Linked DNA regions of Alligator mississippiensis. The protein of the gene in region 1 purifies or fractionates together with the protein of each later gene. This does not show direct contact. Links are inferred from orthologs where the notes say so. Each region holds a gene or a part of one and is shown on either strand. Other genes may lie near its edges.

Evidence for each region.
Region 2: the proteins of EPC1 (region 1) and MRGBP purify together in Homo sapiens (affinity purification with mass spectrometry; 6 studies listed by BioGRID and IntAct, counting the BioPlex papers as one, with this or other methods). This does not show direct contact. The link is inferred for Alligator mississippiensis from reciprocal best matches to the Homo sapiens genes EPC1 and MRGBP.
Region 3: the proteins of EPC1 (region 1) and histone H2A.Z purify together in Homo sapiens (affinity purification with mass spectrometry; 4 studies listed by BioGRID and IntAct, with this or other methods). This does not show direct contact. The link is inferred for Alligator mississippiensis from reciprocal best matches to the Homo sapiens genes EPC1 and H2AZ1.

The regions. Positions count from the first base shown.
Region 1 is NC_081828.1:193,083,836-193,093,893, reverse strand, and holds the start of EPC1 (enhancer of polycomb homolog 1), read left to right. Parts: upstream 1-5,907; 5' UTR 5,908-6,233; coding exon 6,234-6,386; intron 6,387-10,058. UniProt on the Homo sapiens protein: Component of the NuA4 histone acetyltransferase (HAT) complex, a multiprotein complex involved in transcriptional activation of select genes principally by acetylation of nucleosomal histones H4 and H2A.
Region 2 is NC_081832.1:4,881,764-4,891,828, reverse strand, and holds the start of MRGBP (MRG/MORF4L-binding protein), read left to right. Parts: upstream 1-5,626; 5' UTR 5,627-5,641; coding exon 5,642-5,804; intron 5,805-6,147; exon of another isoform or gene 6,148-6,191; coding exon of another isoform or gene 6,192-6,258; intron 6,259-8,393; coding exon 8,394-8,515; intron 8,516-9,006; coding exon 9,007-9,088; intron 9,089-10,065.
Region 3 is NC_081825.1:161,262,463-161,272,531, forward strand, and holds the start of histone H2A.Z, read right to left. Parts: upstream 4,186-10,069; 5' UTR 4,057-4,185; coding exon 4,054-4,056; intron 3,619-4,053; coding exon 3,541-3,618; intron 2,430-3,540; coding exon 2,316-2,429; intron 1-2,315. UniProt on the Homo sapiens protein: Variant histone H2A which replaces conventional H2A in a subset of nucleosomes. Nucleosomes wrap and compact DNA into chromatin, limiting DNA accessibility to the cellular machineries which require DNA as a template.

The DNA.
Region 1 (10,058 bases):
TAAATATTTGGAGACCAGAGGAAGAAGGTGGCCTCAAACTGTGCTTGCATTACTATAAAATTATTTTGTTGCAATCTAAATAGTACATGCAGTATATTGTTTGTTGGTTTTCAACAGCTTAACTTTGTTCAGAACAGGGCAACATTTAAACTGGTGCTTACATTTTCTTGATGAAGTGCGAATAAATGGAGTAGAGCAAAACTGGAAGAAGATTCTTGCTGACAAATATAAGATTATGCATCTAGCTCAGTCAAGAATCCAAGCAGTTACTGAGAAATTTCAAATTCCAAGAACAAGTTTTTGCCTTTGTCCACCTTTGTAATTTTCATTCAATCTTTGCTGTTTAAAAGAAAACTTGTATCTATAAAAAAAAAAAAAGGAAGTTACCTCCATAATTTTTTTATTTTTTTTTTTGGCCTCCAATATGTTGTTAAAAGTCACTATCTTGTTAAGCTGATCACCTTCTAGTTGGATCACACTGCAATGGCAAATGAGAGCAAACACTGAGGGAACTGCTCCATAGTTGAGTCAGTAAATTCATGGATGTGCCTGCTTCCTGTATGCACAGAAAAACTGAGATAGAGGTCATGAAGACTCCTGTATTCTAAACATATTTCAGACTACCCAGTAAAAGTTTTTCTTCCAATTGTCAGTGAAAATTTTGGCCAGGGTTCTACCCATTACTGATGTTTCTGTCACCTTTCCACTACTTCTGTCCGGTGCAAAACTCCAGACTAAGAAAAACAATATTTAATTTTTTCCTTGCTATTTTAAGCATTTATTAAAGACTATAAAAGCAACCTGTTACTTCATCATTCATAATATCTCCCACAATGATTTGAACAGATGAAAAGTAGGCACTATTTGATAATTTAAACAAAAAAACTATTTAGAAACACTTGTACAGTTTGAATTTCCACTGAAGCAAAGAAAAATACTCACTGTCCTTTTCTCTAGAGTATACCTATGCCAGTCAGTGGTTCTTAACCTTGACTTCGAGCACCCCTCCATAATTTTTTGTAATTTAATAGCATCCCATTTAAAGATATTCTTTACCATGCTTACCTCCTGACAGCTCACAAAAGTCCCGTGGCATAGCAGAGTGGCCTTACTTGAATGCTAGTGCCCAGAGCCACCGTTTCCCATGGCTCCTCCCACCAGCTCCAGGAGCTTGCAGGGAAACAGCCCCATGGCCATCCAGCCACCTGCAGCAGACTGTACCGCTTGGACCATGGTGGTGATTGGCACAGGGGCTGCCATTAGGTGAGGGGTGTGCTTTTCAGCTCATTCACCAGCTCCCAGAGCTGATACAAGGGCCCACAAGGAGAGATGCAAGGACACCGGGACAGGCACAGAGTGCCTGGCATGTAGGGGCTCTTGTACACATGATGGCAGTTTAATCCTCAACCTGTACATTGAAATGGTATACTTTGAAATGGTGTACATTGAAATAACCCATACATTGAAATGGTGGGGCATAAAACAAAACCCTGAGGACTAAACGGTTTCAATTTGCCATCACATTACGGCACCTTTTTTTCTTGGAGCCAGAGCCTGCCTGCAGAGGGGAGGCAAGCTGGTAGCGGGCTGAGTGGTCCCTGAGCTGCAGGGGGGGGCACCCTGGTCCTTCCCTCCATGGTGGCAGCACCCCCCAGGGCTGCCTGGGCAGGCTGCTAGCAGGCCTGGTGCTGCCCCAGCTCGGAGGCAGCACCTGGCCTGGTCCAACTGTTCCCTGAGCCTGCCCAGGAAGCAGCGACCGGTGGGCTTCTAGCTTGGGGAACCGTTGAATTGGGCTGGGTGCTGCCTCTGAGTTGGGGCAGCACCCAGCCCACCTGGGAGGCCCCGGAGGGCACTGCTGCTGTAGAGGGAAGGACCAGGCCCCCTTGCAGCTCGGGGGCTGCTCAGCCTGCTGACAGCTTGCCCCCCAGCCATGGGCAGGCCCCAACGTTTCTCCCTTCAGCAGGCATCTACTGAAGGGAGAAACGGTGAGGAGCCTGATCCTTTTTTTCAGTGGAGCCTGCCTACCTCTTCCATGGCCCGGGGCAAGCTGCTGACACAGCGGTGGCCCAGGTGGTCACCCATTCTCCCCAAAGCTCAGGGGCTACTTAGCCCACTGGCAGCTCCTCTGGGGGAAAAAAAAAAAAAGGATCAGGCCCCTCGCCGCTTCTATCTTCAGTAGGTGCCTGCTGAAGGAAGAAGCAGCAAGGGGCCCAATCCTTTTTTCCTGCAGAGGCTGCCTGCAGCCAGTGACCGAGCTAACAGCTGCATCACTGCAATTTGCAAAGCTGCAAACTAAATTACATCTGGACAAAGTTTAGGTTGCAATGATACAGTCATTTAAACCCCCCAAACGTCTTGCATGTGTACACCGTGATGCTATTAAGCCACACAAAGTAACATTTTCGTCATGTGTACGTGTTAATGTCATCACATGTAGAAGCACCCTAGGAGCCAGTACTTAATTCCTCTCACAGGGGAGCACCCTGGTTGAGAATCCACATCACCCTGGTTGAGAATTACTAACCAGTACTGTCAGTGCCTCACAAATTTTTGACTCACTTTCCAAGTGACCCATATTTCACAATTGAAATCTAGGTCCTCTGAGTGCTGCACAGACATAGTCACTGGGAGACTTTCTATTTCAGATGGCTATGGTATGAGTAACAAATGCATCATTTCTCAATTTTAGCAAGAAAAAGCAAATGAGAACTTAGTGCCAGAGGTTCCTGGTCCTTCTGCTAAAGAACCTCTTGAAAAAGATACCAGTAATTTAATTTTCTGAATAGCAGGAAAACTATAGTATTACAATGATTTTTGAGCCATACAAAAATACCATACCATACAGAAAAGCCACAAGCTCCTGAGACCAGTGTTCTTAACTTTTTTAGACTCAAGGAACCCCTTGAAAATGTCTGCAGTTACTTAGTTCTCACTCAGTCCTTCCCTACCAAAAAATAACCTATTATTTATTGCTCTTTCTGCTGCAAAGAACCTGGAAAAACCACAACAGGTCAGAATGTTTTTAACACTCTGGTTTGCCATTTGAAATCTCTGGGTTTATCTTGTGAAGCATGTTTGCAAACCTAACAGTGGTAACATTATGTGGCCATGACACCTGTGAAAGGATCTCAAGGCACCCCAGGGTGCCTCAACATCCTAGTTGTGAATCCCTCATGAGGGCAGTTGTGGAGGTAAGGATTTTAAAATAGGTATTAGTTCAAAAATACAAAAAAACTCTCTTTCAATTCACATATTATACTGCTTTTATTTCTACTGTTTCTTAGCTAAAAACAAGCAGTATAGCACACTGAGATTAAATACTTTTTCCTACATGGTAAATTTTTGGCACAGATGTTTGTTTATTGCTACTTTTTAATTTGCTTTAGGTTGTGAATAACAAAGTAGGAAAAGTAAGATGAGCAGTGTATCCTCTTTGTATGATAATTAAATTAAGAAATTGTGAATTTATAAGGAAGCAGCTAGAGAGGGATCTACTTTTTGCCATTGTTAGGAGACAAAGTACTAAGAAAGATTGCTTAAGATATTCGGACTCTCTTTATAGTAATAATCACTACCAAAATGACTGCTCTCTTTCTATACTCTTACTGATCCTCAAACAGCAACCTATTTTGATTCTGCCGTAACTGAATCATAGAAAATTTGGGTTGGAAGGGACCTCAGGAGGTCATCTAGTTCAACCCCCTGCTCACAGCAGGACCATTCCCAACTAGATCATCCCAGCCAAGGCTTTGTCTAGCTGGATCTTAAAAACCTCCAAGGATGAAGGATGGAGAGTCCACAACCTCTCTGGGTAACCTGTCCCAGTGCTTCACCACCCTCCTCATGAAAAAGTTTTTCCTAATATCCAAACTAAACTTCCCTTGCTGCAACTTCAGATCATTGCTCCTTGTTCTGTCATCTGCCGCCACTGAGAACAGTTTAGCTCCATCCTCTCTGTAACTGCCCTTCAGATAGTTGAAGGCTGGTTGGTATTAAACTGCTGTCTCGGAACAGCTCTCCCCTAATTTCCCTGCCTGTAATTTGTTCAGAACAGAAATCCTGAATTTCAGAACTGTAGTCGCATCATTTTGGAATCTTATTTCGTCCAATATCACGGCTATCGTGAAAGTTATTTTTAAAAGGATAATAATATTCGGTAAATGTTTTTCAGTAACTTAAGAACCAAGACATTTTCTGCTTGGGGTGGAAGTTATTTTTCCTGAGATATAGCTGTTATTGGCAAAACACTAGAATTTGGGGCAAAAAAAATGTTTTAATTGACCCTGTGCGTACCTGCATGTTACAGGTTATAGCATGTTCTGCACTTCCTTGCGACTGCAAGGAACATGAGGACAATTCACATTTAAACCCAAAGAGCCAATCTTTCCACTGTGGCACGTTATTTACATTTTCTCTGCTTCCATTAATGGAATAAAAGAGTTGCATTTTATTAGCTCACCCTTTTACTTAGCTGCCAGGTATCTTGTTTGCAGCACAGTCTCACATCAGTGGACTTTGTTGAGATCATTCTATAAATTTTTAAATTTATATTGGTAACAGTATTGCACAGGTCCAAGTTAAAATTTAGAAGAAAAGCATTGAATACATTATAGCAGAGGCTTGCATACCAATAGGTCAGGCTGCAGCCTTACTAGCTTTGATGCCCGTACAAAGGGATTCACCTGCTTACAGCAAATTGTAGGGGTTATGTATTTCCACTTGAAAAAGGCTAACCAATTTTTTTTTCCCATTAGAAATATTGTCCAATTAAATAAACCTTCTTGTTCTAATAGTTCAAATAAAAGTCGAACTGTGTCAAAAGTTTTCAATATGTTCTCTTGAATAGAAAACCAGCACAAATATTCAAACATATTTAACAGTGAATTATAATCCCAGTTGTTAGATTCCTTATTTGGGACCTAGATAAACCAAATTACTTTGTTGTTCTGGAAAATCTTGGCTTTTTATGCAATTAAGAAAATATTTTTAGTTAATGAACACTTGCATTTAAAAGCTCAGGGTAAAAGCTATCATTTAATGCTGTACTAAAACTTAAATCAGGAAAGCACAAATTAATAGAATATTTTTCAGTTCACCTCCTTTATTTAAATATCGGTCAGAGAGAAGCGGGAGGCCGCACGCTTGTCTGAAATGAATGGTGACTACAGCTCGTGTTGTATTTCCACACACACTGAGTGACCCGCCCGCCCCACAGGTAAAACGAGACCTCTCCCAGGGATGCTGTGAAGCCCTCGGAGAGCCTCGGGAAGCCAGGCAGACCACAGCGCCGAGAGGGCTAGCGGAGGAGGCTCCAGACCTGCCTGGAAGACTCCTTTAAACCCAGCAGTAACATTTATTTTAATGCTTTGAATGTAATGCGTTATTACTGGAGGGATACGGTCAGGTTCATTTTCTTCCTCTCCCCCTGTCACAAATGGCGCATCGGCTTCTCAAGACGCTTCGCGGCTCACCTGTCCGCCAGGACACCCAGAGGTAAGAGCGGGACCGGGGACCCCGCCGCGGCCGGCCCGGGCGAGCAGCTGCCGCTGGAAGCCCCTGTCACTATCCCTGACCCTGGTGGGCCTGCGCCGGGGATGCCGCGGCTGTGGCGGGAGGGTCCCGGGTGCTGGCCGCGCGGGGCAGGGTCGGTGCAGCCCGACCCGCCTCGCCTCACATTTGTGGCCGCGGGGAGCGCGGGTGGCTGCGGCGGCGCCTCCCTGCCTTGCCCCGCGCTCAGGTGCGCGCGGCTCTGCCTCCCGGCGGCTGCGTGAGGGGCGCAGCGCCGCGGAGCCCCCGGGACACCCCGCCGGCTCGGCTCGGCTCGGGCCGGCCCGGCTCGTGCCCGCGCTCGGCGTGGCCGCGCGGCGCGCCCTCCTCCCCCGGGCGGCGCCGCGCCCGCGCCCTGCGCGATGCAGTGTGGGAATGGCCGTGGCGCTGGGGTTGGCTGAACGCGGCGGCCAGTCGAGGTTTCATGTCCGCCATGTTGGCCGTGGCGTATTGAGCGGAGCCGGAGCGGCGGCGGCGGAGGAGGAGACGAGCCAGCGCCCGGCCCAGCCGGCGCCGCCGGGCCCCGCGTCGGAGCGCGCCCCGCCCCGCCCCGCCGGGGGAGCCCCGTCCCTCCATGAGAGCGCTCGGCGGGGCCGGCTCCGCGCAGCAGCAGCAGCAGCAACAGCAGCGCCCCGCCGCGCCCGCGCCCCCCCGCCCCGCGCCAGCCGCCGCCATCGCCGCCCGACATGAGCAAACTGTCGTTCCGGGCCCGGGCGCTGGACGCGTCGAAGCCGCTGCCCGTCTTCCGCTGCGAGGACCTGCCCGACCTGGCCGAGTATGCCTCCATCAACCGCGCCGTGCCGCAGATGCCCACGGGCATGGAGAAGGAAGAGGAGTCGGTACGTGCTCCCCCCCACCCCGCGGCCGGGCCCCGCCATCCCTCCACCCTGCCTTCGCTGGGCCGGGCCCCCTCCTTCGCCTCTGCGCAAGCACAAAATGGCCGCCATCTTCTCCCCGCTCTCCCCGCCCGCGGGGCGCGGGGGAGGCAGGGCCCTGCCGCGGGGGGGGCAGCGCCGGCCGCTCGCCCCGTCCCCCGGGCCCGGCCGCGGCGGCCCCCGATCCCGCCCCGGCCGCGGCCGCCGGAGGGGCTCGCGCGGGCCCCGAAAGGCACAAAGGGGGTCACGTGACGCAGCGGGCGGCCGCCATTTTGTTGTCTGCGCTCCCTCCTCGGGCTGGGCCGGGCCGGGGCCGGGCTGCTGCCGCCGGGTGGCGCCGCCGAGCCGCGCGCGGGAGCAGGGCCCGAGATCCCACGTGGGGCAGCGGGCCCGGCCCGGCCCGGCCGCCCCTTGCGCCGCCGCCGCGTTACATAAGGGGTTGTGCCGCTCGCCGGCTTGGAGCTTCCTGGCGCAGCGCGGGGACGAGGTGCCGGCTGCCTCGCGCCGCGGCTCGACCGGAGCTTTCCACGTGTGAAGTGTGAAAGGGTCGTTGGCAACCCTCGGGATGGGGGGCGTGTTTGACTTTTCCCTGTGCGTTTGACAGCTCTTGTCGCTTTGGGTTCCCCCGGGACAGTGATTCCTCTCCTTCGCAGGAGGGGTTTGGGCCCCGACAAGGGGGTGCCTTCCTCCCCCACACGGGCAGCAGGACTGTGAACCCTGGAAGTGGCCCGTGGATTAGGGCTGCAGCTCACGCTTGCTACAAACTTCTGAATTTTAGTAGATTTTAAGTTGACAGGGCTGGTTTCAAGTGGTGGTCTGGGATGACGCTCTTGCTTGTGCTGCTGGCTCCTGATGCTCATTCAGTCCCTGTAAACTTGAAGGAAGTTCACCTTGGTTTTTAGGTGCCGCGTTCTGCACGCGCTGCTGTGCATTGACAGTTTCAAAAACTGACTGTGGACGTCTATGCAATGACTCTTAGTTTCTGAAAGAGCTGTGAAATGCCAGTTCTTTCTTATCTCTTCTTTGCTAGAATTATTTTCTCAAAGTTACAGTTTGAGGATTTATACTGTCGCATTTCCAGATCATATACAAACATTAATTATCGTTATTATCTCTTACTAAAACATCTTATCTTGAATGTAAGAAACATTTACTGAAAATGTTTGACACTGATGCTTCGTGGACGCTTCTTTTAGTAAAAGCCATTATTCAATTTTGCATTGAGTGGTTTTCACCGACTCAGATTAACTTTTGTGCATTAAGAATGGTTGGATACTGTGGGTGGCTTCAGTCATGTAGCTTTGCTTGAATCCAGATCTTCAGAATTTGATGGGTGAGGTAATCATCTTGATTTCCACTTGCATTAAAATTTAAGTAAAACAAGTTTTTATTATGATTACCATAGTAATTGGTCTGTCACATGTACTTTAATTGAAGTGTATATGATCAGTAAACTTTCATCTTTTGTCTGTCTTTTTTGCTGTAAGCTTAACAGATGTGAGCCTTTTGGGTAGAAAACTATTGTATTATGTTGTATTTAGGCTCAGGTGGGCTCACGCAAGGTTACCAGGTAGCCACTATCATAAACTTTACTGTTTGTAAAGAATCTGCTGCTATTTTAATTCTGATGTGATGAAGCATGGATTTTGCAAATAAGTTTGTTTTACACGTCTCTAAAATAAATGGCTAACTAGCAGTTTTAACAAAAATACCAATCTGTATGTGCTTCTGTTCTTAAAAGTGTTGTACTGAAGAAAGGTTACTTGTCACTGACAAATGCATCTGGTTAAACCCATTTAGAATTTCAGGGCCTTCTTAATAAATCAGTTGGTGTCCACTTTTTTTTCCTCTTCTTCCTGTTCCCTCCCTCTTAAAACTCTCTGCTACTTTTCTTTCCTGTGGTTATCTTTCTTTCAAAAAAACCCCAAACCATTTAGAGCATGCAGTCCCGGACTAGAGGCAAGACAATTCTGTGGACTGTTTCATTGTTTTTCCAAATTCCATAGGGGGGAATATCCACTTTATGTTGTGGAAAAGAGGGCATAAGTGAAATTGTGTGTATGTGCACATTTCTTCACCATTGACCACTGTGAACAATCACCTGTGGTGATATGCTAATAGTACTTTAACATCACTTCAAGTATGTGCTTTAATTTAAAAATCTGATTTTTTTTTTTTTTAAGAGTACCCTGTTTTCTGAAGGTGATTCATTTTTTTTTTTTTTTATTTTTTTTTTTTCTCCAGGGAAAGCAAAGAGACTTGATGTTCAAGCACTGCCTTTCAAGAACATTTAAATGCCCGTTTCATAGTTCTTGATGCACATTTCTCCGCTTACTTTTATCTGCCCCACCCCACCAAATAATTAGGGAAAGTAGGACTAATTTTATTAATAGCATGCGACTCTAGCAAAATGTTCTGAATGCATGGAGACAAAAATTACTAATCTTTCAGGATTAGTAATCAGGACCTGCATGCCTTTTTCCAGGTGTCTACAGCAGCTGTTCAAAAAGAATTGACAGCTTAATGTCTTAACTAGATTAAAATCATCCTCCTAACTAAATATAATGTTCCTTGCCATTTGATAAGCCAAGACTTCAATTATAGTGACTTTGTTTAGAGGTAGAAGACTTTCCAGGAGAAAGCTCTTTGTGTCATGTAATTCTAGTTGATAAATGACATACTTGAAGATTAATGCCCTCACAAGTTAATCTTGCAGCCACAAGTTCTTGTGCTATTTGAAAACTGTGTAAAAGTCATTGCTTAGAGAACCTAAAACGATTCGCAAGAGAGGAGAGAGAGAGAGAGTGAGTGTGTGTGTGTGTGTGTGTGTGTGTGTGTGTGTGTGAAAGATTGTAAACAGGAATAAAAAAAAGTTGGGATTTTCTTAAATTCATGCATTTCAGAAGTCTGAAATTTGAAGTGTGTGCGCTGGGAGGTTAGTTTGTATCCCTTTGTCTGCTCTATGATGTTTTCCTTTTAAAAATAACATGGAAGTGTATTTGTACGCCTGTTTCAAAATTATAAATTTGGATCTTAATGGAAATAGAATACAAAATGATGACTGGAGAGGTGGAGGGTGTTGCTGAAATTTGGGAAGAAAAATGTAGCAATTAAGTTTGTCAGTCAAAAAAAATTCAGTACTTTTTGTTTTAAGTTCAGTAAGTTACGTTTTGGAACGGGAAAACTGTTTTAGATGTTTAGAGATCTTTAGGAACATACTAAACCTGGAAGTCTCCCTCCTGAGCTGAAGGCTAGATTTGACTCTGAGAGTTTTCTGGACAAACAAAACACTGATAAAAAATGGTCCAAGAAATTTGCTGTAACACCACAAAGTGCTGTCAAAATATTATCTGTCAGTTTTATATTTAAAGACTAATTTTGTTAGCAATACTTTTGGTGCAATATAAAAAGTACATTTTTGGTGCTTTTAAAAAAGCTTGCCACAGGGGAACGATACATTTGTGAAACATAGATGTAGACAATCAAAGCCATATTTTCTGAAGTCCCTCAACTTTCAAGCAAAGTGGTAATGAGTATAGTTAAAATATCAGCAGCCTCAACCTGACAGTTTCTTAAGGTCTTCTTGGAAGAAGGACATAGGATAGGAACAAAGGGTTTTTCTCTCTTAATCCTGCA
Region 2 (10,065 bases), on another chromosome or scaffold:
GTAAATATTAATTAAAACCATATGGGAGTGATCCAGTGGGCATGGCACTGCCCCTGTGTGACTTCAGGCATTTCTTTGTTTCATGATCCACTCTTTGTCTGTCTAAAACACAAGCTCCTTGGAGCTTAGGCTTTTCAATATCCATGTGCAAACTACCTCCCTTTAAGTACTATTGCAATCCTATTACCGCTTATAGACAATCTTGTAGAACTGAATGTGGATGAACCCATTCAGTCTCCTCAGAAATTTTAAGTCTTTACGGGAAATACAGTGTACTCCACTTGTCTGCATACTGGGTAAATTTGTCATATTTTTGCCTTATTTTGTATAATTGTCTTAATTTGCATGACATAATACCAGTCTTAATTTTTTTGCCTATAGCTCGCATTGTAACAAATATTGGTTACGTGCACAAACTGTTTAAGTGCTTAGCATGTTTTTTCCCCATTGCCTCCTTTGGAACATAGTTGTACTCTGATTAACTGCATAGAACTAGGTGAAAGGAAAGCAGGTGTCAAAAAAGCTGCTATTAGAAGCCTTAAAAATGCTGGGAACTACTTGTTTTATGGATGCTATCCCTTGGCATTTTCAAGGAGACTAAAAGCACCCATGATGCTATTAGGAATCTTGAAAATAAAGCTGGTTTGTCTAGCAGACACCTGCTTGTTGTCTGTATGCCTTACAAAATGAAGCTAATCAATTTGGGGTAGGTGACCACCTGTCCCTAATTGGGTGGGACAGTCCCGACAAGGGAAAATTAAGTCTGGGTCCTGGCCTGCATGACTCTGGGACAGCATTTTTCCTGGATTCCCAGTATTACACAGGGATCTGGGTTTTGTGTTCACCATGGAAAAACATGTGAATAGCAGGTTTCCCCTTACAAGCTGGCAGAGCTCCAGGGGCTGCAGGGAACGGGATGAAGGGGGCAACATGTGCATGTGAACACGTGCACGTGTCCAGGAATACAGCCCCAGGCAGCAGTGGAGAGCATCTCTCCCAGATGCCTGAAGGTAAGTCTATGGGGAGGGGGGCAGATTGAGGCCCACACAGTGAGAGGGAGTGGGGCAGGTCTGGCAGCTGGGGCTGAGGATGATGCCCAACCAAGGCAATGCATGGAGCCCGGGGCAGGAATGTGAGACCGCAGAGCCCAGCCGGGTGCCGGATGGAGGCGCGGGCAGCTCATCCAGGAGGTGGAGAGGGGGAAAGCTCCCTTCTGCTGCATGCACTCCTGGGCAGGGAGGCATGAGAGGTGCCTGTGCTTCCCCAGATTTGTACATGGGGTGGGGAAGGATGTAGGGCTCTCCTGCCCTCAAAAGCCCTGCACCAGCCTCACTGCCTGCTCACCTGGCAGCAGTGGCGCAAAGTTGTGTCCCTCGCTGCAGCTGGGTGCACAGGAGGCACCTTGCCATGGTGGCTCAGCTGGCGCAGGCTCCTGGGGACAGATAGCAGAGCGAGGAGCCCAGATCCTGCAGTGTACATCCCACATCCCCCCACGGGCTCTTGCAGCTAGCCCTTGTTCTGCCTTGCTGCCGGCTGTTGGCTGCTCCTGGGAAAAAAGCTCCTATTTCACAGCCCTGCAGATGGCATTTAACACATTCTGGTAAAGAGATCCCAGCTTTTCCTTCCGTCTCAAACAGAATAACCCAGCTCTGAGCCCCGGCTTACGAGTGGAGCTTCTAGTTTAACAGGGGGAAAACCAGGCATTGCTTTCTACAGGACGATGCTGACTGCTGTTCCCCTTTGCAGATGCAACAAAAATGGTCCGGGGGTTGGGGCACATGATTTATGAGGACAGGCTGAGGGAACGGGGCTTATTTAGTCTGCAGAAGACAAGACTGAGGGGGATTGAATAGCAGCCTTCAACTAGCTGGACTGTTCTCAGTGGTGGCAGATGACACAACAAGGAGCAACGGGCTCAAGTTGCAGCAAGGGAAGTTGAGGATGGATAGTAGGAAGAAATTTCTCACAAGGAAGGTAATATAAAACACTACAGCAGGTTACCCAGAGAGGTGGTGGGATCTCCATCCTTGGAGGTTTTGAAGACCCAACTAGACAAAGCCTTGGCTGGGATGATGTAGTTGGGCCTGGTCCTGCTAACTCGGAACTAATGTTCCCATAGGAGCAATGTTATAAATGGGGGATTGGTTCCTGAACCCAGGTCCGAAACCCTGTTTTCACCAGAATAACCCAGAATGTTGTGCTCAACCAATTATAGATGAGTCATATAGCTACAGTAATGTATTTATATTGTAAATAGCAATCCTATTGATTTGCAAGGACGTCTTTGAGGTGACTTTGTTGGGCCTTTTGAAGGGCTCTTGGCGGGACCTTTCAAAGGGCTCTTGTTGGGAGTCTTCTCAGGAGTCTTGTCCACAGCTTTGCCAGGACTCCCATCTGCTTTCTTAAAGAAAGCATCCCAGGAAGTTGGCACAGATGTTCTCTGGGGAGAATGGCAATGCCATGAACTCCTTCACCGACGTGGCGTTGGGTCCAGCGTTGTCAAGTCAAACCCGGCGTCCAAAAGCGTCCACGTACAAACGTCAGAAGTGCCGTTTGTTGCAAGTCAAAATTGATGTCAAGGGGTCCGTTCATAAACGTTGTAAGTGCCGTTCATCACAAGTCAAGACTGATGTCACGGTGTCTGTTTTCAAATGTCCGAATGTTCACAAAAGCTGTAAGTGCCGTTCGTCGCAAGTCAAGACTGACATTGAGGTGTCTATTTATGAACATTGTAAGTGCCGTTCATTGCAAGTCCCGACTGCCACCAAGGTGTCTGTTTTTGAACGTCCTACATGCCGTTCGTCGCCAGTCGAAACCAACATCACGGTGTCTATTTTCGAATGTCAGAACTGCCGTTCATTGCAAGTCAAAACTGATGTCAAGGTGTCCGTTTTCAAATGTCTTAAGTGCCGTTTGTCGTGAGTTTTGGCTGACATCAAGGTGTCCACATACAAGTGTCAGAAGTGCCATTTATTGCAAGTCGAGACTGATGTCCCGGTGTCCGTTTTCGAATGTCCCAAGTCCCGTTCATCACAAGTCGAGACTGATGTCAAAGTGTCTATTTACAAACGTCATAAGTACCATTCGTCGCAAGTCAAAAGTGACGTCAAGGTGTCCAGTTATGAGTGCCGTTTGTCTCAAGTCAAGACTGACATCATGATGTCCGTTTTCAAATGTCCTAAATGCTGTTCATTGCAAGTTGAGACTGATGTTAAGGAGTCTATTCATGAACATCGTAAGCAATGTTCGTCACAAGTCCTGGCTAACGTCAAGGTGTCCATGCGCGAGTGTCAGAAGTGCTGTTTGTCACAAGTCAAAACTGACGTCACGGTGTCTGTTTTTGAGCGTCCTAATTGCCGTTCGTCGCAAGTCCTGGCTGACATCAAGGTGTCCATGTACAAGTATCAGAAGTGCCGTTTGTCGCAAGTCGAGACTGACGTCACGGTGTCCGCTTTCGAACATCCCAAGTGCCATTCATCACAAGTTGAGACTGACGTTAAGGTGTCTATTCACGAATGTGGTAAGCGCCGTTCGTTGCAAGTCAAAACTGACGTCACGGTGTCTGTTTTTGAGCGTCCTAATTGCCGTTCGTCGCAAGTCCTGGCTGACATCAAGGTGTCCATGTACAAGTATCAGAAGTGCCGTTTGTCGCAAGTCGAGACTGACGTCACGGTGTCCGCTTTCGAACATCCCAAGTGCCGTTCATCACAAGTCGAGACTGACATTAAGGTGTCTATTCACGAACTTTGTAAGCGCCGTTCGTCACACGTCAAAACTGACATCACGGTGTCTGTTTCTGAGGGTCCTAATTGCCATTCATCGCAAGTCCTGGATGACATCATGGTGTCCATTTTCGAATGTCCTAAGTGCCGCTCATTGCAAGTTGAGACTGATGTTAAGGTGTCTATTCATGAACATCATAAGCGCCGTTCATTACAAGTCCTGGCTGACGTCAAGGTGTCCACGTACACGTGTCAGAAGTGCCGTTTGTCGCAAGTCGAGCCTGATGTCACGGTGTCCGCTTTTGAACGTCCCAAGTGCCGTTCATTACAAGTCGAGACTGACGTAAAGGTGTCTATTCACGAACATTGTAGGTGCCGTTCGTCGCAAGTCAAACCTAACGTCAAGGTGTCCGTTTTCGAGTGTCCTAATTGCCGCTCATCGCAAGTCGAGACTGACATCACGGTGTCCATTTTCGAACGTCCTAAGTGCCACTCATCGCAAGTTGAGACTGATGTTAAGGTTTCTATTCATGAACATCATAAGCGCCGTTCATTACAAGTCCTGGCTGACGTCAAGGTGTCCACGTACACGTGTCAGAAGTGCTGTTTGTCGCAAGTCAAGACTGACGTCACGGTGTCCACTTTTGAACATCCCAAGTGCCGTTCATCGCAAGTCGAGACTGACGTAAAGGTGTCTATTCACGAACGTTGTAAGCGCCGTCCGTCACAAGTCAAACCTGACATCAAGGTGTCCGTTTTCGAGTGTCCTAATTGCCGTTCATCGCAAGTCGAGACTGACATCATGGTGTCCGTTTTCGAACGTCCTAAGTGCTGCTCATCGCAAGTTGAGACTGATGTTAAGGTGTCTATTTATGAACGTCATAAGCGCCATTCGTTACAAGTCCTGGCTGACGTCAAGGTGTCCACGTACACGTGTCAGAAGTGCCGTTTGTCGCAGAAGTGCACGGTGTCCGCTTTCGAACGTCCCAAGTGCCATTCGTCACAAGTCAAGACTGACGTTAAGGTGTCTATTCATGAACGTTGTAAGTGCCATTCGTCACAAGTCAAAACTGACGTTAAGGTGTCCGTTTTCGAGTGTCCTAATTGCCGTTCGTCACAAGTCCTGGCTGACGTCAAGGTGTCCACGTACACGTGTCAGAAGTGCCGTTCGTCGCAAGTCGAGACTGACGTCACGGTGTCCGCTTTTGAATGTCCCAAGTGCCGTTCATTGCAAGTCGAGACTGACGTTAAGGTGTCTATTCATGAACGTTGTAAGTGCCATTCGTCACAAGTCAAAACTGACGTTAAGGTGTCCGTTTTCGAGTGTCCTAATTGCCGTTCATCACAAGTCCTGGCTGACGTCAAGGTGTCCACGTACACGTGTCAGAAGTGCCGTTCGTCGCAAGTCGAGACTGACGTCACGGTGTCCGCTTTCGAATGTCCCAAGTGCCGTTCATCGCAAGTCAAGACTGATGTTATTCATTAATGTTGTAAGCTCCGTTCATCGCAAGTCAAACCTGACGTCACGGTGTCCATTTATGAGCGCCGTTCATCGCAAGGCGAGACTGACGTCAAAGTGTCTATTCACGGTTCGTCGCAAGTCAAACCTGACGTCACGGTGTCCGTTTATGAGCGTCCTAATTGCCGTCCGTCGCGAGTCAAGGTGTCCGTGTACGAGCGTCGTTAAAAGCGCCGTTGGTCGCCAGTCAACGCCTCCCGTGTCCGAGCGTGCCCCTTGCCGTGGGTGTGGGTGTGCGCGGGCACACACCACGTTTGCTAGTGCAAACCCCCCGCACTCGCGTGCGCTGGCGGCCCGGTGCAGGCCCGGGTGAGGCGCGCGCGGCCTGTGGCGGGCGGGCGCCAGGGGGCGCCGGGGCCTGTCGTGGCGGGCCGGGCCGGGCCGGGCCGGGCCGGGCGCCATGGGGGAGGCGGAGGGCGGCTCGGCGGAGAAGCCCCCGGCGCCGGCAGCGGCGGGGGGAGCGGGGCCGGAGGCCGGCGCGGCGGCCGAGGAGGCGGCGGTGGTGTGGAGCCCCGAGGTGGAGGTCTGCCTCTTCCACGCCATGCTGGGCCACAAGCCCGTGGGTGAGCGCAGGCCGCAGCGGAGCCTCGGGCTCGCGTAGCGGCGCCAGCCGGGGAAGGCGCGCGGCGGGCGGGCACCGTCAGGATGGACCCACCGCTCATCAGCAGCGAGGGCAGCCTCCACCGGGCGCGGGGACGCGGGGGGGGGTGCTCAGTGCCAAAAGACCATTCACAAAAAACCCCTAAAAAAGTAATTATAAATATGATAAATCAAAATCCCAGCATGATGCTTCTCAGCCAGGGTGTTGCAGCCCCTTGGGATCGTGTCGGGGTGCCGGCACGATTCCCCCAGAGGTGATACACAGGACAAGCCTTCAGACCCACATTTGTGACCTCTTTGCAACAGGAGAATTGCTCCGGGATGTTGCCGAAGTCAAATCATGAGTGAAAATGAAGAGCTGTCGTTTTCCAAAGGGGTCTTCGGGTCTGTTGTGGGGCGCCGCGAGTCTGAAAAAGTGTGAGAGCCGCTCTGCGCTTTTATTATGTATTTAAAAATTTAAAAAACCTGAGTAAAAGCCAAAAGCTGGCGTTTTCTAAGCGGCGTCTTGCGTTTAAAAACCTTGAGAGCCGCTTCTGTAGGTCTAGAGACGGCGCGGCGCGGCCTGGGGCATCGGGCGTTGCTGCCTAGGGGTTGGGAGGAAGAAGCAAGAAGACCCAGAAATGTGTTTATTTGAGTAAATACCCTTGGATAACCAGTCTTTCCAAACTACTGGTTTGCACGAGTCGAGGAGAGCCCTGTTGATCCTTATAAGTATACATTTATAAGTATATCAATATAGTTATAAATGTAGAAAAATGTGGGCCTATACGTATATCAATATAGATATAAATGTATAAAAATGTGGGCCTATACGTATATCAATATAGTTATAAATGTATAAAAATGTGGGCCTATACGTATATCAATATAGATATAAATGTATAAAAATATAAGCCTATAGGTGTATATATAGTTATAAATGTATAAAAATGTGGGCCTATATGTATATAAATATAGTTATAAATGTATAAAAATGTGGGCCTATATGTATATAAATATAGTTATAAATGTAGAAAAATGTGGGCCTATACGTATATAAATATAGTTATAAATGTAGAAAAATGTGGGCCTATACGTATATCAATATAGATATAAATGTAGAAAAATGTGGGCCTATACGTATATCAATATAGTTATAAATGTATAAAAATGTGGGCCTATACGTATATCAATATAGATATAAATGTATAAAAATATAAGCCTATAGGTGTATATATAGTTATAAATGTATAAAAATGTGGGCCTATATGTATATAAATATAGTTATAAATGTATAAAAATGTGGGCCTATATGTATATAAATATAGTTATAAATGTATAAAAATGTGGGCCTATACGTATATAAATATAGTTATAAATGTAGAAAAATGTGGGCCTATATGTATATCAATATAGTTATAAATGTAGAAAAATGTGGGCCTATACGTATATCAATATAGATATAAATGTATAAAAATATGGGCCTATACGTATATCAATATAGATATAAATGTATAAAAATATGGGCCTATACGTATATCAATATAGTTATAAATGTATAAAAATGTGGGCCTATACGTCTATCAATATAGATATAAATGTATAAAAATATAGGCCTATACGTCTATCAATATAGATATAAATGTATAAAAATGTGGGCCTATACGTCTATCAATATAGATATAAATGTATAAAAATATAGGCCTATACGTCTATCAATATAGATATAAATGTATAAAAATGTGGGCCTATACGTCTATCAATATAGATATAAATGTATAAAAATATAGGCCTATACGTCTATCAATATAGATATAAATGTATAAAAATGTGGGCCTATACGTCTATCAATATAGATATAAATGTATAAAAATATAGGCCTATACGTATATAAATATAGATATAAATGTATAAAAATATAGGCCTATACGTATATCAATATAGTTATAAATGTATAAAAATGTGGGCCTATACGTATATAAATATAGATATAAATGTATAAAAATGTGGGCCTATACGTATATCAATATAGTTATAAATGTATAAAAATGTGGGCCTATATGTATATAGATATAGTTATAAATGTATAAAAATATAAGCCTATAACTATATAAATATAGATATAAATGTATAAAAATGTGGGCCTGTACGTATATCAGTATAGTTATAAATGTATAAAAATATAAGCCTATAACTATATAAATATAGATATAAATGTATAAAAATGTGGGCCTGTACGTATATCAGTATAGTTATAAATGTATAAAAATATAAGCCTATAACTATATAAATATAGATATAAATGTATAAAAATGTGGGCCTGTACGTATATCAATATAGTTATAAATGTATAAAAATGTGGGGCTATAAGTATATCAATATAGATATAAATGTGTAAAAATATGGCCCTATATGTATATAAGTATATAAATAATACCAAGGGGGGGGGGCATTTTAACCTGGCATTTTACGGTTAGCCCGGCGTAGTTCAGTATGAATTACGCTGTGATGTGATCACCGCGTGTAAACCTAAGTGAATAGTGCCGCTCACTCAGACTTCTTCCTTCCTTCAGGTGTGAATCGCCACTTCCACATGATTTGTATCCGAGACAAATTCAGTCAAAATATCGGACGTCAGATTTCGTCCAAAGTGATTTGGGACCATCTAAGCACTATGTACGACATGCAAGCACTTGTGAGTATTGAAGCTCGGCGTAGGGGGAATACTGATTTTTCTTCTGTAGGCTTCACTAGCTTTCTTACAAGTGTCTTGGTCAAAAGGCCTGAATCTTGTGTCACGGCGGAAATTGGGACTAAATCCACTGGAGTTTTCCCTGTGTAAAATGTTACAGGAGGAGAGGACCCAGCCCGTTATTTTTGGTGTCACATCTTCATGGAGTTCTCTGGAAGATTTTTGGCCCTTACAACCCGATCTTGCAAGTCATCGGTTCATACTTAACATTACCCCTGTTAGTACGTCTACGCACTTGCACAGAGTTAGTATGCAGGGCCCAGGGCATTATTGCCATACAGGCATCTTGATGTCACTATTACGAGACTCCTGACCTCCCACTTATGAATGATTTAAACTTCTCTTGCATATGAAATGACGTGTGTGCGTTAGAAAACTTCCGGACTGATATTTTAAGAAAATCCTTTACAGATTTTTTTTTTTTCCTTTTTAAGCATGAATCTGAGATTCTCCCTTTCCCGAATTCTGAGAAAAACTTCATCCTGCCTGAGGAAATTATTCAAGAGGTGAAAGAAGGTGAGATTTGATACCAGTGTTTATTAGTCTCAAAACAGGAAATCTATTTGAACTCCAAAAGGAGTGAAAGCAGGATGAATGTACCAGCCTGAAGCCAAATCACTGTATTGTGATGTTAAGGGTCATGGAGTATATCCATAAGTGAAATGTAGATAGGATCTTTGCTACCTTGATTTGGTACCAGCAGATTCAGGTTAGAGACTTTGGGTATGAATTAGGTCTTTCACTTACTTCAGTGGGACCTGGGTGCAGAGATGAGAGAGGAATTTGGCCCTTTGGAAATAAATCCAGGGAATCAACAATATATTTGGGTGTGTTTTGCACTTCTTGGCTGCACTTCATCGCAGCTGTTGTCAGGACAGAATCTTCCTCATTAATACTTTGGTTATAATTTTATTATTGTTGTGCTTGAAAAAAAGACTTCGACAACATAGCAGATGAAAATCCATTGTACGCCTGTAGTAAAATCCTTACTGGATAAGAATTATTAGGCAATCGAACAGCAGTACAATTACTTTTTAAGCACTTAGGGCTCCTATACATGTGTAGGAAGGCTGCTCCAACATGCTGTAATTACAGCGCGTTAATTGAGTCTGCTGGAGCATGGTTATTACCACATTTCAGCAGACTTCAGCGTGGTGCCATGTGGATCAGTGTCCCCACGCTGAAAAATGGTAGCGGAGCACTTTAAACTAAAGCTTGTTTGATGAGCTTTAGTTCAAAATGCCCCACCACCTTTATTCAGCGCAGGGACGCTGATGCATGTGACACTCCGGGTGCTCTAAGAGCTGCACTAATTAAAGTTCCACCCCCCCCTCCCCCCCCAATCTCCCCCTGCCTCCCGAAGCATGTCTACAAGCACCCTAAAAGACACTTGCTCTTTGCCTGTATGCCTTACAAAACACCTGTGGTATCTGGGTATTTGGTATAATTATTCCATTTTTATTGTTAGGTTTTTACATTTTATTTGTGTGTCA
Region 3 (10,069 bases), on another chromosome or scaffold:
GCTATTACTATATACAGATCCATAGCAGGTGTTGCTGGTGAAAGCTCTGGCTTATGATCAATGATGGCCACATCAGTACACCAGAAATAAGGGCAGATATTCAAAAGGCACAAGCTGCAGTGACCAACACCAAAATTCATCCTACAAAAATGTCACCACCTACCCAAAATGTAAAAGCAGGTGCTCTGTCAGCACTTGCAGCCAAGGGATCCTATGGAACTTGACCAGCACCAGGCATACTGTGATGTGTGCTCTCTCCAGCCACCTACTGGTGGAAAAGCAGCAGTGTAATCAGCCACTTTGAAGGGAGATGTGTAGAGATGTCAAACCCACAACTTCTCCATTCTAGAAGATGGAGCACAACCAGTCCCACAAGAAATACCATGTCTTGTTTATAGCTTTAGTAGTTACTTCTCCTACAGATAGGTACTCTTAATAGTGTGACTCACAGGATAGGGCTCCTTAAAAAGGGTTAAACACAGCTCTATGCCACAGCACAGATAGCCCATGTTTTGTACAATTCTGATTTAACATTGACTGTATTATGCAACATCCTTCACTCCCACACCATGGCCTCCATCAAAATGCCAACTTAACTCCCTTCCTGCTGATCCTCAAGACTCACTAAAATAGTTCACTGAAGTATTTTTAGATGAAAGCAAATTCTGATTACAGCAGAAAATCTGTTATCCTAAAACCTCAGAATACAAGTGGCAATGATTATGCAGCTTTTATTTGTCCGAGTTAAGCAAAAAAAGTTGGATTTAAATGAATAATTAAGTTTCCCTTTAAAAAAGTATGCCACTTTAAAATGAACCCTGAATTTAACACAGTATAGACTAAGGTACAAGATATAAATATAATTTAAATAAAATATTGAGTCAATAAAAAAACCCTCTGGACTTAAAGGTTGATTTTCTTCAAAGGTTTGGGGGTAGGGAAGCCATTTAACTTTTGAGGTCAAGCTTTAAAAGAAATACAGCACAATATTTCATGTATTAGGGGTTTGGCCCTGCAAGGTTATATAATGCTGGATACAAAGCATCAACGAAGTAATCACAAGTGTTTGAACCTGGCCTCTTCTAGCTGTGTACTCCTTGATCAGCATCATCTACCAGGCCCACCTAGAAGGTATCAAAACTCCTGCCTGTCTGTGTCTTTACCCGATCCAATTGGCTCAGTTCTCAGTTTATGAATATCGATGACTGTACCCATAATGGAGGCTTATTTCTCAGCTCATGGCAAAGCAACCATCTGCTCAGTAATTACCAACCCCCTGGGGCTTCTTAAGGGTTTGGGTACTTCAGTTAAACGGCCCTTCTTGGTTCCTTTGGCTATGCAGAGATGCAAGCAGACTTGAAGTTCATGCAATTCATGGTCTCCAAACTAAAATATTGTAGCCCCCTAGCCTTGTGTGCTGCAACAGCAGAAAGCATGGCTTGTTGGGACGAGGGAAAAGCTAGGGAGGGTATGGTGGATTACATCACAGGGAGAAGCACTGGTTTGGTGTTCATCTCCTGTGTGGAGGAGAAACAGGGAGGAATAAGCAGGAGTGTGAGCAAAGGACCAACACTGGGCTCAAGTGTACAAAGTGGTAGACTGGTCTTGAAATCAAGACCTAGACATTTTAGAAAGTTTTCCCCAGGGTGATCCGAAATAACTGGTTTAATTCACTAAATTGCAGTTCATGGCATACTATAACAGTTAATACTAGTGTTTAATAAATTAGTTATCCAAGTGTTAATCAAGTCTTGATAATGATTTCTATTTCCAAAACATTAAAGTTGCTTTTAAACACACAACCAACACCAAATTAAACAAGTCACCATCTTAATAAAAAAAGAGCACATTAAATCTACTGAACAACATACAATTCACATTTAGGATGCCAAAATAGTACATTCAGATTGTTAGCAATGCTGTAAGTTATACATTTAAGACCATATTGTTTATCTATCATTGGTTGATACAATAAAAACACACTGACCTACTGTAAAAACTGCAGTTAACTAAGTTTGGAACATGTGTTTCTAGGTACACAAGCTATGAAGAGAGAGTTTGAGTACCTAGGAAACATGTATACAACTTGCAACTTAATCCAGTTTTTACAGTAGGACAAGTTCTGTTAGATCAACCAATGATGATACAACCTTTCTGTAAAAAAGGAAGGAAACAAAAATACAATGGGAAACTTGATAAAATTATTTAAATTTGGGCTACTGATTTATAGCAATTTAAAGGGACTCAATTTAAGTCAATTTACCCCTTTTAAGAATATTAACTGCCTTTCCCAGTCTCTCCAACAGTATCCTTACCTCAGCTGTCAGGTACTCCAAGATAGCAGCACTGTACACAGCAGCAGTAGCTCCTACACGTCCATGGCTAGTGGTCCTGGACTTCAGATGACGGTGAATGCGGCCAACCGGGAACTGCAAGACATCAAGAGCAGGAAGAACATAGTGTAAACACCATAAAAGGTTTGGCAAATGAAAGACTGAAACCCTGCCAACAGCTACCATAAAATAAATCACAGGAAGGCCTGTTTGTTATTTGATGTAACAAAAGCTGATCAGATTTAAAGCATAGTGATTTTGAATACACTTCTTGCATGATTCCTTATCCTATAAAACAGCAATTCTCAGCTTTTTTAGCCTCAAAACAGCCCTTTTTATTTTTTCCAGAGTTTAGGAGCATCCTGGCTGAGAACTATTGAGTTAGAAGCCAACTTACACCAGGTAAGAGTGTCAAGGCAAGACCTCACCCCACTGTACCCTTTTGCCAGCATCTGCCCCCTCCCAGCCATTGATCTGTGCATGAAGGGGTAAGCACTAGGCTTCCAATGCCAGCAACTGAAGCCAGATGCACTTGCAGCCTCTCACCACGCCAGGCACATTGGGGGGGGGGGGGGGAAGGAGGGGGCAGAAAGAGAGAAACAGACAGGGGATAACTCAGGATTTAAATTGTAGTCCTCTACCTATATCTGGCCACCTGCTCATGCACTTCACATGCACACACATTGGAGCAACTGTTAGGAGCAGGGTGGCCAGTGCAAGAGCTGCCAGGCATGGGGACTAGCTACAAGTACTGCTGGACAGATTTTAGAGGTGCCCAACCCCAGCAAGGAGAAAGAGCAATTGCTCATCTTTTGGCACAGGACACATGGGTGCCACAGCCCCTTTGGAAGCATCTCATAGCACTCTGGTTGAAGACCCCTGCCATATAGTAGCAGCAGCAGCATTATGGTTCAAGCTGTTCATTCCCAGTCCAAGCTGTTACTCCTTAACTGCACTGAAACAAACAAAAAAAAACCTCTTCAAGTAATGCAAAACCTAGGCGCTGAAAATAGCACCCTCCAAAGACTAGCCTTTTAAAAATCATGACAATCAGTGGACTTCAACTGCAGCTGTTCTAACATGGAAGCCTGCTGCTCCTGAAGCAGACTGCCCCATAGCAGACAAGCAGCAAACAGAGAAAAACTCCCAAACAAAAAGGCAAAAGGCTTAAAGGACAAATAAATGGGATGAAGCCCTGCAGACTCACCTGCAGCCCAGCTCTCTGCGAGCGAGACACTGCTTTGGTCTTGGTCTTCCCAGAGTCCTTCCCAGCTTTACCACCAGCCTACAAAACAGGGAGGAAGGCGGTAGTCAGAAGCGAACTCCTACCCACTGGAGCCAGCTTCTTCCTCCTATAAGCTCACCTGGAAGCAAGTCAGTCACTCGGGTCTCAGGCAAGAACCGCCCAACAGCCCCGCGCATGCGCTCCCCGCCCAGCAGCCCGAGCCAAGGCGCCGCGCATGCGCTCTTCCCCCACGCCCAGCAGTCCGAGTCCCTTGCTAGGCGCAGGCGCTGAGCGCTCCCGCCGGCCCGCCGCGCATGCGCACCCCCTCCCCCACAGCCCAGCGGCCGGCGAGACGCGAGGGCGCCCCAACGCGTGCCAGCTTTCCAACCATTGCGCCCAGTCTCCCCATGCAGCCGCCACCACCTCCTCCCCGCCGCTGCAGCGCGGTTGAGCAACCCCCACCCCCAACCGTCCCCCGCCTCCGTGGCCTCCTACCATCGTAAGCGGCGCTGCAGCACCGCGCGGGAGAGGGAGGAAGCAGCGAGCGGCTCTCACACACAACAAGACCCCAGCAGCACCGCACACCTGTACCCGCCGCGATTCAAACTGCGCCGGCTCCCGCCTTCCCCCGGTGCTTTATAACCGCCGAACGTGCCCACATCCGGGCACCCGGATCCCACCGCCAGCCAATCGCCGCCGAGGGGGGCGTGGCGACTCTGCGGCCCAGGAGCCAATCGGAGCCCAGCCGCCGGGCGGGGAGGAGAGGGGTGGGGTGGGGCGGGAGGCTCGTGCGCCCGGGCCTCAATGGAAGGCACGCCCACACTTAAAGTGACAGGCGCGGCCCTGCGGAGCCGTCGGCTGCCTGGCGAACCCCGCGGGGCGAAGGGGGGGGGCGGTGTAGGCCCAGTGACCCGGCGCGTCGCGGCGCGAGGGCCCGCGTGCGCGCCCTGCTCCACCCCTCTGCTGGCTCCCGCGCGCCCGGCTCCGCCCGCCATTTTGTCTGGCGCTGGCGGCGCTGCCCGCGGGCACCTACAGCCTCCGAGGCCCCGCGCCCAGGCTCAGGCACAGCTACGGGCCTTTTTGCGACCCGGACACCTGCCTCTGCCCTGCCCCACCCCGTCCCACACATGGGACTTGCAAGTGCCTCCCCTCCACCCCCGGGCGGGGCTTAGGGCAGCTGCTGGGTAAGGAATTGCGGGGGTGAATCCCCCGGGGGAGATGCAGACACGTTGTCTTTTTCTGCAAGCTTTCGGACACACACGCCCTTCCTCAGGCGCAGGGAAAATTAAAGACACCCCAGGGAGAGGCACCAGAGCCTGCCCTAGGTCACTGGAGGAGTTGCAGCCCAACACCTGTACCTGGCCACCCCAACTTGTGTCCCTGCAAAGAAGGGGTCTTTGGAGGATGCAGATCTCCCGCCCCGGGTGCAGCAGGTGGGACGGGCAGACAGGTGGTGTTGCCCTCCTTGGCACGGTGACTCTCAGCCAGGGGTCGTGCAGTAGCAGCACTGCGCGTTTCATTAAAGCGACCCGGAGATTTCAAATAGGCACCCGTAGTGTCAAAAACACCCTGGCCTGCTGCAAAGGAAGGGTATTGGTAGCTATTGAGTGAGGGAGTTAGGGGTCCAGCCTTTGAATCAGAACTGCCTAGACCAGGGATCAGCAATGTTTTTGGTCACAGTGGCAAAAACACCCGCAACCTTGGCTTGAAAGGTGTTGGCGTCCCCAGGGCAGAAGGTGGGGGAGCTGCAAGGGGCCTGATCCTTGTTGTGGCGGTACCGGCAGGCCTGGCCCCTTCCCAGAGGTGTGACTGCCAAGCAAAATGACTGCTCTGATTGCCTACCCTTGGTCTAGACCTTAAATGCTGGAGGCTGCAAGGTAGGGAATCCCTGCTCATACTCAGTTTGCTCTCCCTTTTAGCATATACTTTCTGCCCCTCTGTGACGTGGGGAGGTGTGGGGGTTGTGTTATGAATGTTTCCAAGTCTAGGCCTGAATCTGCACAGGTTTCACATGCCCTTGGGTTTGTGGCTCTCCGTTTTCTTAGGCAGCAGAACCACCTAGATGTTGGGTGGGACCCTGCCTTGAGCAGTGTGACCTCCCCCCAGGAGCTTGTCGTTGTGGATCGCCAGCTAGAGGTGGTGCAAATGATGCGAGTTTTCTTGTCCCGTGCAGCATTCCCAGCCAATTCCAGGGTTTCAGTCATCAGGCTTTCCATCACTGAAGCATAATTGCCCTTGTAAAGCATACAGTGCACACGGCCTACAGGGAACTGCAGCCCTGCCTGGGAAGACCTAGGCTTGCAGACTATGCCTCCCTGCTTTCCACAGCCAGACATGATTTCACTCTTATGTGATGCTACCCCTCTGCAGAAACCTGGCAAGACAGACCTATGGTCTGACCCAGCAAATGGCAGTTCTTATGTTCTTATGGTCTTTCTGTGTTCCTTGCAGTAAAAGAATTGCTCTAGTCATGGGCGTTGCGGTGCACCCCCTGGAAAAAGGCACCACTTACACTCAGCGGCGCCTATGGGCAATCGCCGCTTGCCACCCCACTGCTGCCACCACCAGTGGCATCTGTGGGCAGTCCGCGATTCCTGCTGACTGCTGCTGCCGATGTTGACAGCAGCTGCAGGTGGTCGCCAACCCTTGGTCCGTGTTCGCCATCCTCCCCTGCTGCCAACAGTGCTGGTGGAGTCTTCAGGAGCTCTCCCACTTACTGCCACAGGCTCTTGCTGCTCTTGCCACCACACTCCTGCCACCGCCGTGCCCCCACAGCTACCGGGGGCACATGCCATTCATGGCTCTAGTACTTTTTGTTTTTCAGTCAAACAAGTGAAAGCCAAGAGCTAGCATTTCCCAAGGGTTGTGCTGAGTCTAAGAAGGTTGAAAGGTTGGACTCCACAATTCAGGAAGGACATGGAGAAGCTTGAGAGAGTCCAGAGGAGAGCCACGTGCATGATCAGAGGCCAAGAGAACAGGCCTTATGAAGGGAGGCTGAGAGCCATGGGACTCTTCATCCTGGAGAAGCACAGGCTCAGGGGTGACTTGGTGGCAGCCTATAAGTACATTAGGGGTATGCATCAGGATCTGGGAGAATGCCTGTTCAGCAAAGCGCCCCAAGGGATGACAAGGTCCAATGGTCACAAACTCCTACAAGACCATTTTAGGCTGGACATAAGGACAAAGTTCTTTACTGTATGAGCCCCCCAGGCCTGGAATAGACTCCCCCCAGACGTGGTGCAAGCACCTATTCTGAACACTTTTAAGAAACATTTGGATGCTTATCTTGCTGGGATCCTTTGACCCTAGCTGACTTCCTGCCCCTTGGGCAGGGGGCTGGGCCTGATGACCTTACGAGGTCTCTTCCAGCCCTAATGCCTATGAAATCTATGAAACCTGCTAATGATGTGGTTCTCAAACTTTCCTTGTGCTCTGTAGAGGAGGTATAGGGAACTTAACACCAGATCCTAGAGCAGAATACAGAACCAAGAGCCTAAATCCTTTACTAGATCTAGCCCTAGGTCTAGGTGCTTCTTCATATTTTTAGACACTTGAAAAACTACTAGAAATTTAACCAAGGTTGTGAAGCAGCTATACTTTCCATCCTCATGAAGAATTTCTGCTGGTAGCAAGTTTTGTTAAGCAGCAGAACATGAAAATGAAATATTTGAGCTATGCTTAAGAAGTACAAGCAGTCCCCAGCAACCATTTACTCCAAGAGCATTTTTGATTCTTTGGAATTTTTTTCATGCATCTTTGCATGATTTCAAGTCTTTACCTATTCCATGCCAAGTGGAAGAGATTCCATCAGGAGGCTTGCTTTATTATACCATAGGTTAAACCTATTTCCTTTAGATCTTGGAATTCACATTCACTGCAGGCCACCTGCACAGATTTCCAGAAAAGGGGTTTTCTTCATCTTGAAGATCTCCCATTACTGCTGGTCATTGCACAGCTGCAAAAGAGTTCTCTCCCAACACCAGTCTGCTGTATACTACATCCCCACCTTCATCCAGAACCAGGAGCAAGCCTCCCTTGGTCACTGCCAGAATATTTTAATTTTTCCAGTAGCTTGGCATATTAGGTAACAGCAGACAATGTAGGTCCAAAGTGCTACATAATAAAGCACCGATCTCATCTCCTTGACACTAGCCCTGCCTGCACAGCTTGCTTTGCAATTGCTTGTTCACGTGGGGAAGAGTTTTCAGGGAACGACTCACTTGGTAGTATGAAGCTATACACGTTATCACAAGCTGGTGCTAGTTGGCATTTGGCAAGTTAGGGAGAGGTGGCAGCATGAAAATGGTATTAAATCCTTCTCAGAAAAGTTTCTCAGCAATTGAGGATTTTGTGGCTGGCCCACAGACATCTAAATCAGAAGCTTCTATGCACCCACCTTCACATGGGGAAGGCCAGGCCACTAAAGGGCAATGGACTAGCAGACCCCCATCTTGCTGGCATAGTTCATTGAAAACTCTTGCCCTATATCAGGGTTAGGCAACGTTTTTTGGCTGGAGTGCCACAAAAAACACAATGTCTACCTTGGAAGGTGTCAGAGTGCCTACATGCCAGAGGCCAGAGCAGTTGTTTGCAGCCTCCCGGCTGCAGCCAGCCCACGGAGCCTGGTCTGCTTGCAGCCTCCCAGGCACCTGCTAGGAGCAGCCTGAGCTCTGTGGCTGGCAGCAGCTGCTTAGAGCCCAGACTGGCAGTGGTGTGCTGAGCAAAATGGCCTTGCGTGCCATGCTTGGCACGTGTGCCGGGGGTTGCTGACCCCTGCCCTATATGAATGCTCATATTTGTGACAGCTGAGTACAGTCTGCTTATTTGTCAATGGCTGCTGGGCCAGGCTGAATTTTGATATTGCTTTATGATCTCCTACTTTGATATAGTTTACTTACATCATTACGCTATTGATACCATCTGTTCATTCATCAGGCTTTCAAGTGCACAGCCTCCTTGTTTGTGCACAGCTGTCATGGTGCTATTTGCTCTATTTTGTGCCTCAAGCATATCCTTTTCATTAAGAGGGATCTAAACACTCCATTTGCCCCTGGAGTATTGGTTTATCTAATTGATTAGCTGGGTTTAAGCCTGTATAGGAGTATCCACACAGAGCATCTATCAGTTTATGTACATGTTTATTCCTGTATCAGATAAAAACAATGCTTCAATAAACATTTAAAAAAACTAGTATACCTCTGTTCAGACAAGCCCTAAGATAGCCAACAATGCTTCAGTAGGCAGACTTGTGTATTAATCAAAAAGGCACCATGTTATTCTACATCTAATTCAGGTACCCTAAGGGCTCCCCAGTGAAGAAGGAGCAAACTGCTCAGATACACAAGAATAAACAAAAATATTTCACACTGGCAATAGCAACAGCAGCTTCCCACATCCTACATGTTAATGACACATTCAAAGGGTATATTCCATGTTCCTGAAGGAATGGGTTTATAAAAACATTTTGAGAAACAATCCCTTTAGTGGGGAGAAAAATCCCTTTAAATTAGAAGGTTTACTGAGAAATAGGGAAAGTATTAAGTGTTAACTCAAATGAGTTTAAAAAGTGTTTGGATCTGTAAAGAAAGGGATTAGGCTTGATAATTGAACTTGTGTGGCCCCTGACCTCAAATATCCTCTCTCCAGCAGCAAATACCTAACTCCAAATCTCACCAAGCCACTCGGTCTTGCTACAGACCCAGATACCAGCTGTGCTCCCTCATCAACATACACCACATCGTTATTGGACCAAACAACGTGAATTATAACATCCAGGGTTCATGCACCTGCTCCTCTGCCAATGTCATAAATGCCATCACCTACTTACAATGCCCCTCTACAGTCTATGTTGGCTAGGTGGGGACATTCCTATATAAAAAAAATGAATGGATATCAGTTTGATATCAATTCCAGAAACACGCAAAAAGCACATGGCGAAATACTTTAACCTCCCTGGATATTCCATCACTGATCTCAGAGGAGCCATCCTTAAGCAATAAAACTTAAAAAAAAATTTGAACATAAATTACATAACAAGAAATCATCCATATATTGGATTGTGTTAAACATGGGCACTCACCGCCCATGAAGAAGTCCAACTACAAATATTCATGAATTGCCACTCCCATGCTTGCAGGATGTTTCCCCTGACCGTGACAATCAAGAAGACTGTGGTCCTAGGACAGGGTGTTCGCTAGTCATGATCTATCAGCCTTGACAACATATCTCTTGAGGCAGTGAACACATTCTGGAGCAGTCTCAGCTCTCCCTGCCTCCTGCCCTCGGGCTGCACTCTGTGGGACTGGCAGAGCCGATCAGAGTGCAGTGCTGGCTCTCCCCGCCTCCCCACACCAGGCTGCACTCCAACTGGCTCCGGCGCTGCGCTCTGATTTGGTTCGCTTTTGTTTTGTTGTGAGAGGCATTCATTGTTAAAGCACTGGAGATGTACAGGCAGTCCTCAACTTAGAACGTTTTGAGTTACAAAGTTTTGCACTTACAATGTTTATAAATT